Linked DNA regions of Saccharomyces cerevisiae S288C. The gene in region 3 interacts genetically with the main gene of each other region. Each region holds a gene or a part of one and is shown on either strand. Other genes may lie near its edges.

Region 1 (3,072 bases), on a different chromosome or scaffold from region 3:
TCAGGCTCAATAAACTTTCAGACTGATTCTTTCCAGTTACGAAGGTAGGAGTACAATATGCATACATAACGCAGCGATTTACAAGATATGTTCCTCGGGTCTATGTTTTGACCTCTTTTAACGGCATATGAAAAAACCTTTGAAAAAATGAAATATTATATAAAGGTCCAGAACCCACAGTGGTACTAAAAGGCCCACTTAAGTCTCACACCTAATTAAACACCTTTGCATAAACGGTAGCTGAAGAACAACAGGCATGACCGCAATAGTGAAATGTTAGCTACTATTTCCTCTATAAAAGAAGTACGAATGTAATTAAATAAATTGTTCCTGACCAAGCACATCTGTAAAGGAAAAGCAGATTGCTAGCCAACTTTGGTGACTCAAATATTTATGAAGTTGGTCTGCTCTCTGCCGAAAGTCTATTAGGTATATGCTGTTCCAGTACCCCAAGGAACAAGGTCTGATAAATATGCTAGTTGAATTCCAAATATTTTCAAAATCAGGATTTCTTATCCAGTTATTCGACCACGGGTGGATAATGAACAGGTACCTTGTCTTTCTCCATAACCTTTGAGTTTTTATAAGATAAGTAAGTGTTCCAAAATATTGCAACGACATTAACAGCTAGTAACCTATGTTGTAAAGGAACAACAGAAAAGTTAATCGCTTGGAAAAGTGGCCAAACTGCCCAATTAGTCAAAAGTGTAGGCCACCATTGCTCTTTTATTTTCAACTTAGCTACGTCAAATGATCTACCTTCCATGATGGACATACAGGTGAAATAAAATGGCAAACCTAGCGGCGCAAACGCCAATTGATCGACAGCTACCCGTAAAACCATATTAGACCAGTGGTACTGAGGTCTGTTACGCATATAAATCTTGTTGTTCAAGATCTTGTACCACTTGTCACCTATAAAGGAGAAAATTAAAGAACCATAGATGACAGCCCTAGCTGTCCTTTTATAATCATAACCCTTGTTTACTTTGGATGTTGGAAACAACAATTGAGCAGAAACATCACCAATTCCAAATAGCGCACCTGTCATTATCGCATTCGTAGTTTTGGGCCTTCTCTTCAAGCTCGCTTCATATAAATGCAATAACTTCATACTGTTTTAATATCAATTCTATCTTTCCTATAGTAATAACAAAAGACTGTGTTTGCCTTTTCCCTTTTGTAAGGCTAAATATGACAACATAGCATTCAAATAGCTCTTCTATCATATCACTATCATAGATATTTCCATTTTTTTTTTTTTTTCACTTTGTACTTATACTGTTAAAGTTCGACATTTAAGGGACAAGGAGGTGCCACTGTTTCCCGAAACGCTTCTTGTTACCATCGGAGAGAAAAGACCAATACATACGTAATTAGAACATAGAAAATAGAACGTTTAAAGTAGATAGTTAATCACAAAGGAGAGGCATCACAACGATGCGATGGTAAAAATATATTTTAAGTGCTTTGATTACTTACTACATGCTAATTGACTACATACATAGTGTCTTGAATATTTTCTCAGTCTCAACTATTCATCTTGACCAAGTCCATTAAAAAATTCCATTTTTGAATTTCTCGGGAATATTTTTCAGCTCTATTCTAGACTCTAGTTCGTCATCAGTTATTACAGTAGCTCTAGAAGCGCCTCTTTGAATTTCTTCTTCATGTTCAATTTCATGTTCATGATGAAGCAATTCATGTTCTATGTCTTCTTTGTGAACGACTTTAACGTCTGGATCTTTGTCCTTATGAAACTTATTCCAGTGATGAATTTCATATTCTAGCTCAAAATCGGAGTGGTGACCTACACCAACGCCAAGGTCAGGGAACTTGTTTCCTCTCTTAGCAAATTGTAGATATTCCTCCTTGGTGATTTTGGTATTATCATCAACATCCAATAACCTCATAATAAGGCTAACAACACGCTTAGCCATTTCATTGTCAATTTTCTCAGATTCATCGTGTTGTCCCATACCATCACCAGCCCCCACAATTTCTTCACGGTTCAACCCGTAGAGAGATAGAATATCGTTTTCATCTAAAAATCCTTTCTTCTTGATATCATGTAACGCGAAGAAAGTCTCTGGAGTGTAATCTTTTAGCTGATGCTCATGGTCCATATGCCACTCCTCCCAGGATAAACCATCAGGTGGTGCCTCATTTTCCACATTAATTTCAGATCCTATTTCTGCCGTGGCAGTTACTTTATATAGAGTGAAAGCCAAAGAAAATACAAATCCCCTCAAAAACCTCATTTCCACAATTTTAATAGAACAGGGATGAAAAAATTTTAGGTCTTGGCTCTTTTATCTTTTCTAGAAGGAATATAATATTACGCTCAATCATGTTTTAAAGCTTCCTAGTCTATGATCCGTCACCTATTTTTATTCTTCCAAAAAAATATTTTCGTTACCCTCTTACCGAAAAGGGTATGAGGCAATGCTCAATTTGCCTGAGCTTAAGAATGTATGAAAAAAAAAGATGTCTGACTAATGGAACGCTTTTTCTTTTAAATAATGCCTTTCTTTATAATAAGGAAGTTGCGTCTATATTTTACCAAAATAAACAATATTACAAAAACATAGAAATTAAAATATACATAAATTATTGATCAATAAAAATCTTAAAGAAAACTGTGAAAGCAGTGATCAAAAAGATTAGAATTCTTCGTCAGAAGAAACGTAAGCATCACCCAATTCCTTCTTCTTCTTCATTCTTTCCTTCTTCTTCTTTCTCAATTCCGCAGAAGACAACTTCTTCTTCTTCTTACCACCGGCAATCTTGTTACCCATAGCATCGAATTTATCTTCTTCGTCTTCCTTCTTTTCGATTCTTGGACCAGCACCTTGACCACTAACCCAGTTGTGACCAGATGGAGTCATTCTACCGTCCTTGACGGCCCAGACTTCTTCAGTCAAGTTCTTTGTGAATTCAGCAGAGTGAGTAATGATAATAACACCACCTTCAAATTCCTTCAAAGCCTTAGACAAAGCACCCAAAGAATCTCTGTCCAGATAGTTGGTAGGTTCATCTAAGACAATCAAGTGAGGTCTTTGCCATGTACCG
Region 2 (4,883 bases), on a different chromosome or scaffold from region 3:
TTCGGCGGATAGTGGGTTTAATTTTGAAAAATCAGGGTTTAATGGTTGTTCGGGCAAACCACCACCTTCTTCAAATTCCCTTTTCCTTTTTTCTTCTTCAGTTTCCCCGTCTTCTTCCAAGCCAGTGAAGGCGACTTTCTTCTTTGGCTTATCAGCATCTTGTGTTTCTTGTGTTTCTTGAGCTACAACTTCCGTTTCTTCAACGATATCTGGTTCACCAACTGGTTCCAAATTACCGTTGATAATAATGCTAGGTTCTTGGTCTTGTAAGTCACTCATGTCTACCTCTAATGCGCGATGTTAACGGTGTATTACGCTCTTTCCGCCCTCTTTGCTTAGCTCCTGGTACAGGTCGAGATGAAATCTCTGTCTTTTGTACTGATGATCAGCATCGGGCTATTCTATGAAAATTTTTTCAATGGCAAATCTGGTCCGGGTTACTGACATGAGAGCAAATAATAAGCATAAATTAAAGCATATTGATATACTTCATATAACAAGTATATATCACATCACGCCAAGCTTACGCATAATGCTAGTAATAAATAGATAAACAAAGAGCGTTCTTATTGATCTAAGGTCGCCACCTTTCTACCCACACGACTGCGGTCAAAATCAATATCGAATCTTGAGTTGATGACGTTACGTTTCTTGGAATTTAGAGATGTAGCTGAAGATGCCGAAGAGGATGTGCCATCAGCATTGCCAGCAACTATTTCAATATCTGTCTCATCATCTGCTTCCAACCCATTACTTGCCACTTCCCGCGGTTGGATCTGTAAAATTTCATGGCCTGTATTTAATTTTTCCTTTTCTGTGGGAACGGAAACTGCGGAACTTGAATGATCATTGTCTGCGCTCATGGTCAAGCCATTGAAGGTTTTCTGCAAATTCTTCATCGATGGTGTTTTAGATATATTCCTACTGTCAATGTGGCCTTCCAAATCGAAAAACCCGCCATACCTGTTCAAATTTACCTGTGATGAAGAAGATGTTTTGCGGGAGCCATTGACTGTATGGCCGTTACGTTTCGGAGGATTATTGACTGCATTGTCCATTTCATACAATTTATCGACCACTGGACTGATCTTCACGCCAGTTTTATTATGAGAAGTGCCGCGTGACATCCTCCAGTAGGAACGAATTTCGCCTAACACCCAACTTAACATAAACATTAACCTGTCACCCTGTCGAAATTGCGATGTCACGGTCAAATCTACTTGATCATCTTTAATGATGTACCCTATTCCAAAGCCATGAGGTACAGCAGGAGTTATACCAAATGTCGTGGTAGCAGCATTACCACAGTTGGCAACAATCAACTCAGGCTGTGAGAAAGGTAAAACAAGTGGATTTTCGAAAAGATCTTTCGCAGCAGATGATTCATCACCACTTAAGTGGATACCAAAATGGTCATGAAATTTGAAGAGATATTTCAATGCATTGAAGTGTTTTTCATAACCTACCCCAGACTTTGCATGTTTAACCATGTTATTATGTGTTTCGCAGGTTTGGATAAATTTGTCTAATTTATCTGTCCCATCAATGGAGCTAGAAATAAACAATTGACATAGTTCCAACAGCGCTTGACTTTGAATGTTAATAAAAGATGATCTCGAGTTTTTGAAACCACGTGTGGATACTGGTTCTAATCCAAACACCATTCTTCCATACAAAGCATAGTGAGCTATTTGTAAAGCTACTTGAACCATCGAATCGGGCTTGACTCCTAATCTTTGAGCTGACCTTCTGCCCAATGGAATAGAAGCGCGAACAATATCATACTTGGAAATCAGATCAGCTAGTTTGGTTTCTGACAAATGGACATGTGTGTTCAGGATGTTACTGAAAGACCAATCGATTTTATTTACAACCAACTTAGGGTCAATTTCAGAAGGGCCTCCGCCGTCGGCACTTATGGTCGCCGTCATCAGTTTTTTAGTTTCAGGATCCATTTGTGTCACGTTAGGCCAGAGTGAAAACTGTGGGTCACCGGCGTTAACGTCTCTAGCTAATCTCAAGACTGATTCTGTATAAATTTCAGAAGTAAACCGAAGCACGACTGACCCGTCACATGTGAAGGAATCCCAAATCACTGTGGCTTTTGCATCTGCAGTGACAACTAACTGTAATTTATCATACCAACGAGAAACACATGAACCCACTTGATGGCCTTTGCTATTTATTATAGAAGTACCGTAAAACACTCTCTTACAATTGGCGGAAGTACATTTCTTGTCTCGCTCAGTGATAGTCCTGTTAAACATTTGACTGATATCAGCGGTATCATCGCCATCATTGGTAGTTTCTTCTTGTGATTCGTCCAGCACTAACACGAACAGAGCAGAGTCTATGCGATGTAATTCATTAGGATACCTTTTCTGTAGTCTCTTCCTTGCATATTTCCAGTTTCTAAAAGAGTGAGAGGTCAAACTACCTAACGCAGTTGATTTTTCAATGCCAGAAGAATCTTTTATTATATGGTTGAAAATTGTGGTTAATTCTGCAGCAGTGTATATAATTTTATTCGTCGAATCAAGTACTTCCAGTGTATAGTATTGGCCCCTGGAGATGATCAAGATGTGTTTGCTATCCGGATGTCTTTTTATAGTTATACCATTGCCAGTGAATATGTCTTCTTCGTGTTTTCTTTTACGGTCATCAAAGTCTTTTTGGGTGGGTTCGTCGTTATCGTCCTCATCGCTTGAATAATCAGGGTCTTCTAAATCAGATGCTGTGTAAGGTTTGTTCAAATCAAAATTTTCAACCTCACCGCGCTGAAAAACAGGACTACGAGTAGTACCGAACAAGTTCAGAAATGGAGCCATTGACAGTGGTTTGCCATTGGTGGCATTGATATCTGGTGGCAACAAATCTTGTTTCAAAGCAGAAATAAACCTGGCCGCAGAGTGCACTAGGACGGCTGACCTATCAGCTTGAGTGATGTTTGGCAAAGCGTCATCTGCGAGAACCAAGAAGGGATTCCTGGGTAGGACATCGTCCTGAATCTCCCTAGTGGAGGTCTGGTTATTGATGTCTAAGTGTAATTCATCAAGGTAGCAATCCCTAGTGTCATGGTAGCTCTGTAGTTTAGATTGCAGCTTCTCACTTACGGGATTCTCTTCAAAATCTCTTATTATGGATGACAGCTTCTCAATTTGTTCTGGATCTAAAGGATGTTGATAGTAACCATCAGCATAATACAATGGCTCTAAACTCTCCTTCAGACGCTGCAAAGTGTCACAGAGTTTAGGTAATGGTAACTTGGGTAGTTCTTCCTCATGCTTAAATGTTCGCCCCGACTTGTCAGACGAAACAATAGTACTGCCGCTTGACATGGTTGCTTAGTTTTATTTTAATTTTGATTTTTGATTTTCATTTCAAATGAATCAATTGCTCTTACTCATTACAAACACATTTATATAATTTTTTTCTTTTATACGCTCCAATTAGTGTCATTATTATGGGGTAGTCATTCATCGTGATGATTCATTATCGGACCGACGGGAAAATGACGAAAAAATGCAAGGTCAGTAATAAAAAAATAATATACGGCTACAAAGCGAACATACATACATTTCACGCAAAGCAATCTATTTCTTCTTTTGGCCTAATTGTGACGCAACACGGGCTGCCTCTTCAACACCATTGATAATACCGCTCTTGACGCCCTTTTCTTCCATTACGCACAACCCGGCAATAGTTGTACCACCTGGTGTGCAAACTTGATGCTTTAAAACGGATGGATGAGCACCGCTTTTCTCAACCATCTTCACTGTTCCTTCTAGAACTTTCATGGCACACTCCTTACTCTCTTGTAATGGGATTCCCAATTTCAACCCACTCTCCATCAAGGATTCTAACATCAAGAGAACAAAAGCGGGGCCTGAACCGACTAAAGCCGTAGCAGCATCCATGTTCTTTTCTGGAAGCTCAACGTATTTACCAACTTGGCTAATCAATTCGTTGACCAGTGGCTTTTGCTCTTTGGAAACATCAGCTGAGTAGGACACCACCGCACAACCATATCCGTACTTGGCAGGTGTGTTCGTCATAACACGGCAAACAGTGCTAGTGTATTGACTCAATTGGTCAATTGTCCAGCCAGCAGCCAGGGAAATAAGTAGCTTTCCCCCAATGACGCTCTTCACACCATTCAACACTTCTTCGGCCAAAAATGGCTTGGTACCAAGAAGAACTACAGAAGCTTCTTCGACAGCGCTCACGTTGTGACCGTAAGTGCTTTCGACTTTAATACCGTTAGGAGATTCGTCGAATGTCTCAACTAGATCGGTAACTTGTTGTGCACTAGGTTCATCATGGTTACATGTGATAATTTTGGAAGGGTAAAATGCAGCAGCAGTTTCATCAGCCGCCTTTGGAGCATTATAAATGGCGGAAAGAAGTGCTTGGCCCATAACACCGCAGCCTAAAATTGCCAATGTGTAAGTCATATCTGTAGTTGGTTTGTTTGCTATTGGTGTTGTGTTACTTCTATTGTTGTTACACCGTTCTTAACCTGGCAATGTTATTAAATCCTTCATATTCTTGTTTTCGAAGATAAGATCTTGTCCTTTTGTACGTATGCGACTTTATATAGTAATAAATGGCATTCTATGGCAATGTATGTAGGTTTAAGGAGTGACTCAGGATATTACACCTTCTTTTGCTGGATGTACTCAGCGACAATAAAATGTAGGAAGTCCTCTACTTCTTTAAAATCAGAAAATGTTGTGTCAAAGGACACTGCGTTGGCTTCCGTACCAGCTGAAAACTTGATGTGAATGAGTGCGTTACAATAGTTAGGACTTTCGAGCATTAAACTTAGATTAGGGCTTTTGTGCTCAGTTAATGGTAGATTTATTTTGAGTTCACGTCTAGGT
Region 3 (3,600 bases):
CCTCTTCTTGTTTTCTTTCTGATAAAGTTTACAAACTTCAAATAAAAATGAACGTAAAACAAGTAAAAATGTAGGATGTTATAGTATCAACTAGCTGCCGGAATAGTGCAAATTGTATGAATCGAAATAAGTACGCTAGCCAAGGCAGTAAGGCCTAATGCCCTTAGGCAAATTTATTATTTATATTAAGTTCCAAGAAGGGGAAGCGCCTTCTTTCCCCGCAGTACAGTATTTTACCCGGAGGTTCTTAATAAGTTATTACTAAAAGGGTCATAACGGATTTATTAATAATGGGATTATAAAAATAATGCGTGTGTACCTAGTTATCGCGTGATAGCTTCCGCAATTTTCCAACCATTAGTAAATTTTATGTAACTAAAACGAGGAAGGAAATAGTAACGTTCATTTTCTTAATTATAAATATCATTATCATAGTGTATGGTTAAAAGAATATATTATTGTATTAAATAAGTGCTAAATACTAAATGGTCATGAGGAAAGAAAAATATGCAGAGGGGTGTAAAAGTAGGATGTAATCCAACTATAGTTTGCTTTCAATGTTTTTGACCAATTCCTTGTATTTCTCAGTAGAATAGGACTTTGGCCTTTCAATGGAAGCACCGATGGCCCTATCAGTGATCAATTGAGCAAGAATACCAAATGCCCTTGAAACGCCAAATAAAACGGTATAGAAAGAAGATTCTTTTAGTCCATAATATTGTAATAAGACACCAGAGTGAGCATCTACATTTGGCCATGGATTTTTGGTTTTACCATGTTCAGTCAATACGCCAGGTGCTACCTCGTATATTGATGAAACTAACTTGAATAATTCATAATCTGGAAAATGGTCCATGGCAAACTTACGCTGAGCCATATAACGAGGATCAGTTTTCCTTAGCACAGCATGACCATAACCGGGAATGACTCTTCCTGAGTTTAGAGTATCCCATAAATATTTTTCGATCGTATCTTTAGAGTAGTCATCATTTACCTCTTCTTTAAGTGCAAATAACCATTCTAGTACTTCTTGATTAGCACGCCCATGAAGTGGGCCAGCCAACCCGTTCAAACCTGATGCAAGGGACAGATAAGGTGATGATAGTGCTGAGCCCACAAGATGGGATGTATGTGCAGATACATTACCACCTTCGTGATCCGAATGAATGGTTAAATAAAGTCTCATCAAGTCCACGAAATCTTCATCCTTAGAACCAATCAAGTTGACCAGATTTTTAGCATAATCGGCATTTGGGTCCACTTCACCCATTTTGCCATCTTTGAATACATTACGATAAATTTTAGCTGCAATAACTGGCAATTTACCCAGCAAGTCTAGTGAATCTTCAAAAGTATAACTCCAATAATCTTGCTTGGAAATTCCTTGAGCATAAGCCTTAGCAAACTTTGACTCGCTTTCCAAGGCAGTTACAGCAATAGAGAATTGAGCCATTGGGTGTAAGTCCTTTGGTAAATTATCCAAAAGTTGAACGACATGACTAGGTAGTTCCGATCTTGACATTAGATCAGCTGATAAGTTTTCAACTTGCGCTTGAGTTGGAACCTCGCCAGTTAGCAATAACCAAAAGAGAGCTTCTGGTAGTGGTTGTGAGCTTCCTTTTGCCTTGGGCAGGTCCTTTTGAATGTCGGCGATCGTACGACCTCTGAAACGAATACCGTCTTCTGGGTCCAAAACGGAACCTTCCCATACGCTCCCTGGAATACCTCTCATACCACCATATACCTGTTCTAATAGAACATCGCTAATTTTAGTTTTGCCATGCTCTTTAACGAATTGCCTTACATCTTGAGCATGGATGGGGTAGATTTCGCTAAATCTCTCTTTTAGAGTCTTTTCTTGGCTTGAATTTGATTGTAAATATGATGCAACATTTCTGTTTGAATTTAGATAAGGAACTGTCATTTTTCTTGTTACTAGTATTATTAAAACAAAAAGTTTTGAGAACCTGTTATGATATGTGTTGATATTGTTCCCTGAAACTTAATAATGAGGAACGAACACCATATCTAAAGAACCAAGTTTTAATAGTCTTATATACGCTCAACGTCGAGAATAATGGGCCCTTTTGAGAGCATGACTATCTTTAGATTAACGTCACCAATTTCATACGAATGTAACGCTCAAAAGGTAATTGCGCTTACCATTGTTATTGTTTTTCCGCTGTGCCTCCCATTGCTGACGCCCTGATAGACGTCTAGCTACGGAAAAGGTCACACTTTTTTTCTGCAAGAAAAAATAGGTCGTGACCTCTTCGCCCCTAGTCGATGACCACCGGATAAATGCGTCGAATGTGCGCGCTATTAGTTTGCGCTCTTTTGAGATACCGCCAAGCCATTGATTGAATGACCCAAGGACGGATTTGTTCAACACTCCAAAGCGGCTTATGTTGTGGCAACAACTCTGGGGAAAGTCAGCGCAATGTTTTCCCCTAAGGATTCGCGCGAGCCGTGTGTAACAAAGTTCCGCCGGTATAGCATATCTAAACCACAGAAGGACGCTTATACGGCCGTCTTCCACAGTAATTAGAAGGACATTAGTCGGAGTGTAAATAAGACGGTTGCATACGCGTATGAACATGGGCCATTCATTTTACGGAAATGGCAACACATTTTCTTGTTTTTAATGTAAATAGTACGGAGTTCCTTTTTGGTGCGCTGAATGTATGCCGTAGTTTGGTTTCTTGCCAGGCGTGAGAAGAGAGGTCACACATGCTGTTGGGGTTCATGATTTTCAGCCTTCGCTCTGCTAAGTAAAAGGTCCATTGATCCGAAGCGCTTCCTCCAATATCGCAGTGATAAACGGTCATGTAAGCCTACAGTCTTTAAACTGTAGATGATTTAATGGATTATCTCATACATTGAATATCACACTTCAGCAGTTCAAGTTTTCATTAACATTGGTCTTCTCCAGCTTACTCTGTAAAGTCCGCTGCAGTTTTCTAGAAATCATAATCTGTACCTCCATTCAGCCATCTGAGGAACCTCCGAAATAACGAGTAAATGTTCAAACATGCCATGCGCCTTGGTTTATTGTACGAGTTTTAGCATATTGCAAAAAAAAACTGCTCCTGAGTACACTTGTTTTACGTCGGAAAGATAAATGCCGTACCATTTCTGCCAGTAGCGACACCACACATTGTAAAAACAATGTGGGGCGAGCCGGGACTCGAACCCGGGACCTCCCGCACCCTAAGCGAGAATCATACCTCTAGACCACACGCCCTCCTTTGAAAAATCCCGGCAGAACAGCGCCTGAAGTCTGGGATACAGCCCTATTTTCCCTGCCATCGTCATTGACCTTTTTCTTAACGACCAGATTAACAGCCAGTTATTGAAAGTTTGCGAACGTGAAGTAAAACTGCAAAATGGTCGTTTTAAGTCAAAAGTAACCCTGCGTCACACATGAGAAACATTATCGCTAAGTTGTTGTTACTACTTCTTGTAATTAACTTACTGTCGCATTCCAAATGGACTGCGAAACAGACACGAAACAATTACGAAAGTGACGACAGAGTAAATATTGTCATTAAAGAGAATGATGACCTCCGGGTAAACTGTGAGAATAAGTCTAGACCATTC
Region 4 (4,670 bases), on a different chromosome or scaffold from region 3:
TCCTTGAGAGAAGGATAATCCTTTATCAGTTGAGATGTTGTAACGCTTAAAACAGAACTACGAGGTATTTTAAACAATGTTTCATCCTTCTTAATCTTTTGAGTGGCAACTACTGCGCGGCCTTGATTATCACAACAAAGATCTTTGATTTCTATCTTAGGGGATACTTCAATTTCAGCGGTAGTTTTTAACCAGCAAACAAAGTTTTCGGTATCTCTTGAAAAATCATCCATTTTCGCAAACTTTCCCCTTTATTACTAGTCATATTGAAATGATCGTATTAAGCTTTTACAAAGGTAATGAAATTTTTTCATACTCGAGAGAAAAATATGTGACACATGTGTGTATTACCCGCAGTAACTCTCGAAGATTACATTTGAATAATATCAATACTTCCAGACCAATAGCTTTATTGTATTGCCAGGGCACTTGGTACATGTAACATTCATCCAGTTTATTTGATACCAAAAATCTTTTATTTTAATTCTTCTATTTACAAAAGAGAAATGTGTATGTTTATATATGTATTTTCTTGGGAATTTATTATTCATAAACCGCTTGTGCAGTTACTTTTCAGCTTCCTCTTCAACAACTTCGCCTTCTTCATGATTTGGTAGCACGACAAGCTTAGTATCTTTAACCACCACTCTAACAGTTTCGCCGTTTCTAATTTGACCTTTTAATAAGAAAGTTGCCATGGAGTTCAAAATCTGTCTATGAATTAATCTATTCAATGGCCTTGCACCATATAATTGATCGTAGCCTTTGTCAGTTAGCCAATCCTTCGCTTCATCAGTTAAATCAATTTTCATTCTTTTTTCGGCCAAACGATCTTGAATTTCTGCAATTCTAATATCAACAATTGACCTCAAAACTTTCTTGGATAGCCTATTGAAAACTAGAATATCATCAATACGATTGATGAACTCAGGTGGATAGGATCTTTTCATTGCTTCGATAACTTTATTCTTGGTTGCGGTGTCAATCTTACCATCATCACCCAACTTTGTGTCGTTTAATAAAATATCTTGTCCAATGTTTGAGGTCATCACAATGATCGTGTTACGGAAATCAACATGATGGCCTAGGGAATCGGTCAGCTTACCTTCATCCAACACTTGCAACAGTAGTTTGGAAACATCGGGGTGCGCTTTTTCAAATTCATCAAATAAAACGACAGCATAAGGCTTTCTTCTGACAGCCTCAGTTAATTGGCCACCAGATTCGCTTAAGACGTAACCTGGAGGTGCACCGATTAAACGAGAGACAGTATGCTTCTCTTGAAATTCTGACATGTCAAAACGAATCACATTTGATTCGTCATCAAATAGGAATTCAGCTAAAGCCTTGGTCAATTCTGTTTTACCAGTACCAGTAGGACCTAAGAACATAAAGCTGGCAATAGGTCTCTTTTCACTGGTCAAACCAGCCCTTTGAAGACGTACAGCATCAGAAATAGCAGCAATGGCCTCGTCTTGGCCAACGACTCTTTCTTTTAAAGAATTTTCCATATACAGTAGGCGGTCCTTGTCGCCTTTCATCACCGTTTCTGTAGGAATACCAGTCATTTTGGCAACAACCTTAGAAATATCGTCAGAAGTAACTGAATCATGAAGTAAATTTACTTTATCTCCGTCCTTACTCTTCTCGCTTAAAGCTACCTTCTTCTCCAAGTCAGGAATTCTGGAATATCGCAACTCGGATGCTTTAGTGTAATCACCCTCTCTCTGACACTTTTCCAACTCAATTCTTGCTTGTTCCAAATTTGCCTTAGCATTTTTGATAGATTCAATTTCAGCTCTTTCAGCGTCCCATATTTTTGTTAATCTGTTTAATTCATCATTTTTCATTTCTAGGTCCTTTTCCAACGCTTCTCTTCTTTCCACGGAAACAGGGTCGGTCTCTTTCTTTAAAGATTCCAGTTCTATTTGTATTTTCATAATAGCACGATCCAGTTTCTGTATTTCATCCGGTTTGGATTCATGTTGTAAACGTAGTACAGCACAAGCTTCGTCAACTAGATCAATGGCTTTATCAGGTAGAAACCTGTCTGTTATATAACGATTTGAAAGAACTGCAGCAGACACTAAAGCTGTATCAGTGATCCTTACACCATGATGAACCTCGTACCTTTCTTTTAAACCTCTTAGTATAGAAATCGTATCGGAGACGCTCGGCTCATTCAATAAGATAGGCTGAAACCTTCTCGATAAAGCCGGATCTTTTTCAATGATTTTGAATTCATCAAGAGTGGTTGCAGAGATACAACGTAGCCCACGGGCCAGTTTTGGCTTTAAGATGTTAGAAGCATCCATACTACCATCAGTTTTACCTAAGCCAAGCAGCATATGAACTTCATCAATGAAAACAATAACCTTACCATTGGCCTTGTCAATTTCTTCTAAAACCTTTTTTAAACGTTCTTCGAATTCACCTCTATATTTGGCGCCAGCAATCAAAGATCCCAAATCCAAAGCTACTAGATCTTTATCTTTCAACGAGTCAGGGACCTCCCCAGCAACAATTCTTTGAGCTAACCCATCAATAAGGGCGGTTTTACCGACACCAGCTCGACCGATCAAACATGGATTATTTTTTGTTCTTCTTGATAAAATTTGAATAGCTCTTGCGATTTCTTCGTCTCTGCCAATGACAGGGTCTAATTTACCGTCGCGCGCTAATTTTGTCAAGTTTGTACCAAATTGTTCTAAAGCTGGCTTTTCCGGTTGCTGATTGGGATCCATCCTCATTTGGACGTACGTTCTTTTGAAATTGGGCAATCCATATGAGCTCTTGAGGGCGCAGGTTGAAATAGCGACTTCATTTAATGCATTTGTTTTTATATCTGATAGAAGTTTATTGGCTACTCGAGGTCTTGCATTAAAACTGCAAATAGATCTTTTACACTGTACAATAGTGTATATTCGTGGAGTACTTCGCCTTAATAGTTGCGTTCTCTGTAAATATTTTTGTATTGGTGCTTTTGTAGCTTGTCTTAACATATTTAACCTTGAAAGATTTTCACTCGCTTGTTTCAGGGTTCCTGGAATAGATAATAGAAGTCAAACTTTTCATGCTTACATATGCATATATATGTATATATATGTGTGTGCGTGAGTCAGTAACTAGGGGGTTTGATGAGCTTAGATACAATGAATCACAGGGGTTTATTCAAAAAAAAAAGTCCGTGCACCCCCTATTCAAACGCGATGCCATTAGATGAAAGAACACTTCTAGAACATTCTGGAAAATAACAAATTTTATCAGAACAGAATCACACCTTGATTTGTCTGTTACATTAATTATTAAAATTTATATGACCTATAAGGCCAAAGCAAAAAGTTGATCTTCCAGTACTAGAGATCAATATCTGCTCCCTATTTATTGTATTACGTGGCACTATCCGAGTGTCTCCCTACTATTTCCTCCAGGGATCTTATTTTTTTTTTTAGTTGCTCTATTTCATCTCGTTGTTCTTGTTCCTTTCTTTTAGTATTTTCAATATCCTCGATCATTCGTATATATTCAGCGTGGAAGCGTTTATTCTCAAGTTTTAGGTTTTCATTTTCATTTCTTGACATGTTGTGTTCATTTTTTATTATACTATTCTCATTCTTCAACATGTTGTTTTCGTTACATAAGACATCATACTCACTTCTTAACATAGTAATTGCATTCCTTATAGCTTCATGCTGAGCTATTAAAATGTTGTTGTCATTTCTTAATGAATCGTTTAATGATTTGAAGTTATTATTTTCTGCTAGTAAATCGTCAAATATCTTTGATTTTTGTTCGAGATTCTTGATGTATTTTTCTTTCCTTTGTCTAAATGCCTTTTGAGCGGTTCTATTTTGAGCAGCTCTTCTAGTATTTCTTAAAGTTTTGCCTGAACTACTTATGAGTTGGGTGTCTTTATCAGGAACAGGTTTGGTTACATTATCATTATTATCATTATTATCAGCTGAATTTTTAGCGGTATCAGCACTGTTTTGAAAAGAAGGAGGTGCAGTAGTAACACTGGTATTGCGAGATGGGAGGGTTGATAGTTGCTCCTCTGCAATATACTCCTTATTCAAAGATATGCTCTGGTTCGGAAGTCCATTTGGTAAAGGGGGATTTATTTGATAAGGTGCATAAGATATGGAATAACTTTTAGGGGGGAATACCACGGAAGGTTGAATACTAACATGAGCATTTTGAGGTCTGTTGTAAGAAGCTGATTGTTTTCTTTCATTTGAATGCGGAGGGATGATATAAGATGGATGTATAGGACTTTGATGCATCGATCTATAGTCAGACGGACCAGATAGATGCATCAAGTTTGGCAAAGGAGGCTGGATAGGATTGCTGTTAACAGATATGTCGGTGTCCCCATTAGTGGTTGTAGGATTTATTCTATAAGGTAACTTTTGGGACGTGCTGGGCTGTGCAATTTGCGGAGAAGGATGCTCATTTAGATTCTTCTCAGAGGCATTATAAGTAGCCATTGAGCTGCTTCCCTGATTATACATATCGGGACGAATCAACGGAGGGTTTTGCATTTGTCCCTTAGCACTCTTCGTTATTCTGTTGTTTATTGAAATTTCTAGACAAAAGTATATGCTATCGGATTCACGATTGGTGGGGAAAAAAACTCGGTGTTACAGTTTGAGGAAAGATTGTGTTTAATA

Evidence for each region.
Region 1: mutations in CIT2 (region 3) and SYM1 impair growth when combined (synthetic growth defect), as found in Saccharomyces cerevisiae (one study listed by BioGRID).
Region 2: mutations in CIT2 (region 3) and YAT2 impair growth when combined (synthetic growth defect), as found in Saccharomyces cerevisiae (one study listed by BioGRID).
Region 4: mutations in CIT2 (region 3) and HSP78 impair growth when combined (synthetic growth defect), as found in Saccharomyces cerevisiae (one study listed by BioGRID).

What each region holds. Positions count from the first base shown.
Region 1 is NC_001144.5:639,506-642,577, reverse strand, and holds SYM1 (ethanol metabolism protein), read right to left. Parts: upstream 1,115-3,072; coding exon 521-1,114; downstream 1-520. Other genes in the region: nucleobindin SSP120, read right to left, coding at 1,557-2,261; YEF3 (translation elongation factor EF-3), read right to left, coding at 2,664-3,072. UniProt on the Saccharomyces cerevisiae protein: May be involved in cellular response to stress. Required to maintain mitochondrial DNA (mtDNA) integrity and stability. Required for ethanol metabolism and tolerance during heat shock.
Region 2 is NC_001137.3:200,647-205,529, reverse strand, and holds YAT2 (carnitine O-acetyltransferase YAT2), read right to left. Parts: upstream 3,339-4,883; coding exon 567-3,338; downstream 1-566. Other genes in the region: GCD11 (translation initiation factor eIF2 subunit gamma), read right to left, coding at 1-279; PRO3 (pyrroline-5-carboxylate reductase), read right to left, coding at 3,594-4,454; SRB4 (Srb4p), read right to left, coding at 4,655-4,883. UniProt on the Saccharomyces cerevisiae protein: Carnitine O-acetyltransferase involved in the shutteling of acetyl-CoA in the cell.
Region 3 is NC_001135.5:120,405-124,004, forward strand, and holds CIT2 (citrate (Si)-synthase CIT2), read right to left. Parts: upstream 1,925-3,600; coding exon 542-1,924; downstream 1-541. Other genes in the region: YCR006C (uncharacterized protein), read right to left, coding at 2,126-2,599. UniProt on the Saccharomyces cerevisiae protein: Peroxisomal citrate synthase involved in the citrate homeostasis. Catalyzes the condensation of acetyl coenzyme A and oxaloacetate to form citrate. Citrate synthase is the rate-limiting enzyme of the tricarboxylic acid (TCA) cycle.
Region 4 is NC_001136.10:971,242-975,911, forward strand, and holds HSP78 (chaperone ATPase HSP78), read right to left. Parts: upstream 3,003-4,670; coding exon 567-3,002; downstream 1-566. Other genes in the region: RKM4 (ribosomal lysine N-methyltransferase), read right to left, coding at 1-233; YAP6 (Yap6p), read right to left, coding at 3,390-4,541. UniProt on the Saccharomyces cerevisiae protein: Required, in concert with mitochondrial Hsp70 (SSC1), for the dissociation, resolubilization and refolding of aggregates of damaged proteins in the mitochondrial matrix after heat stress.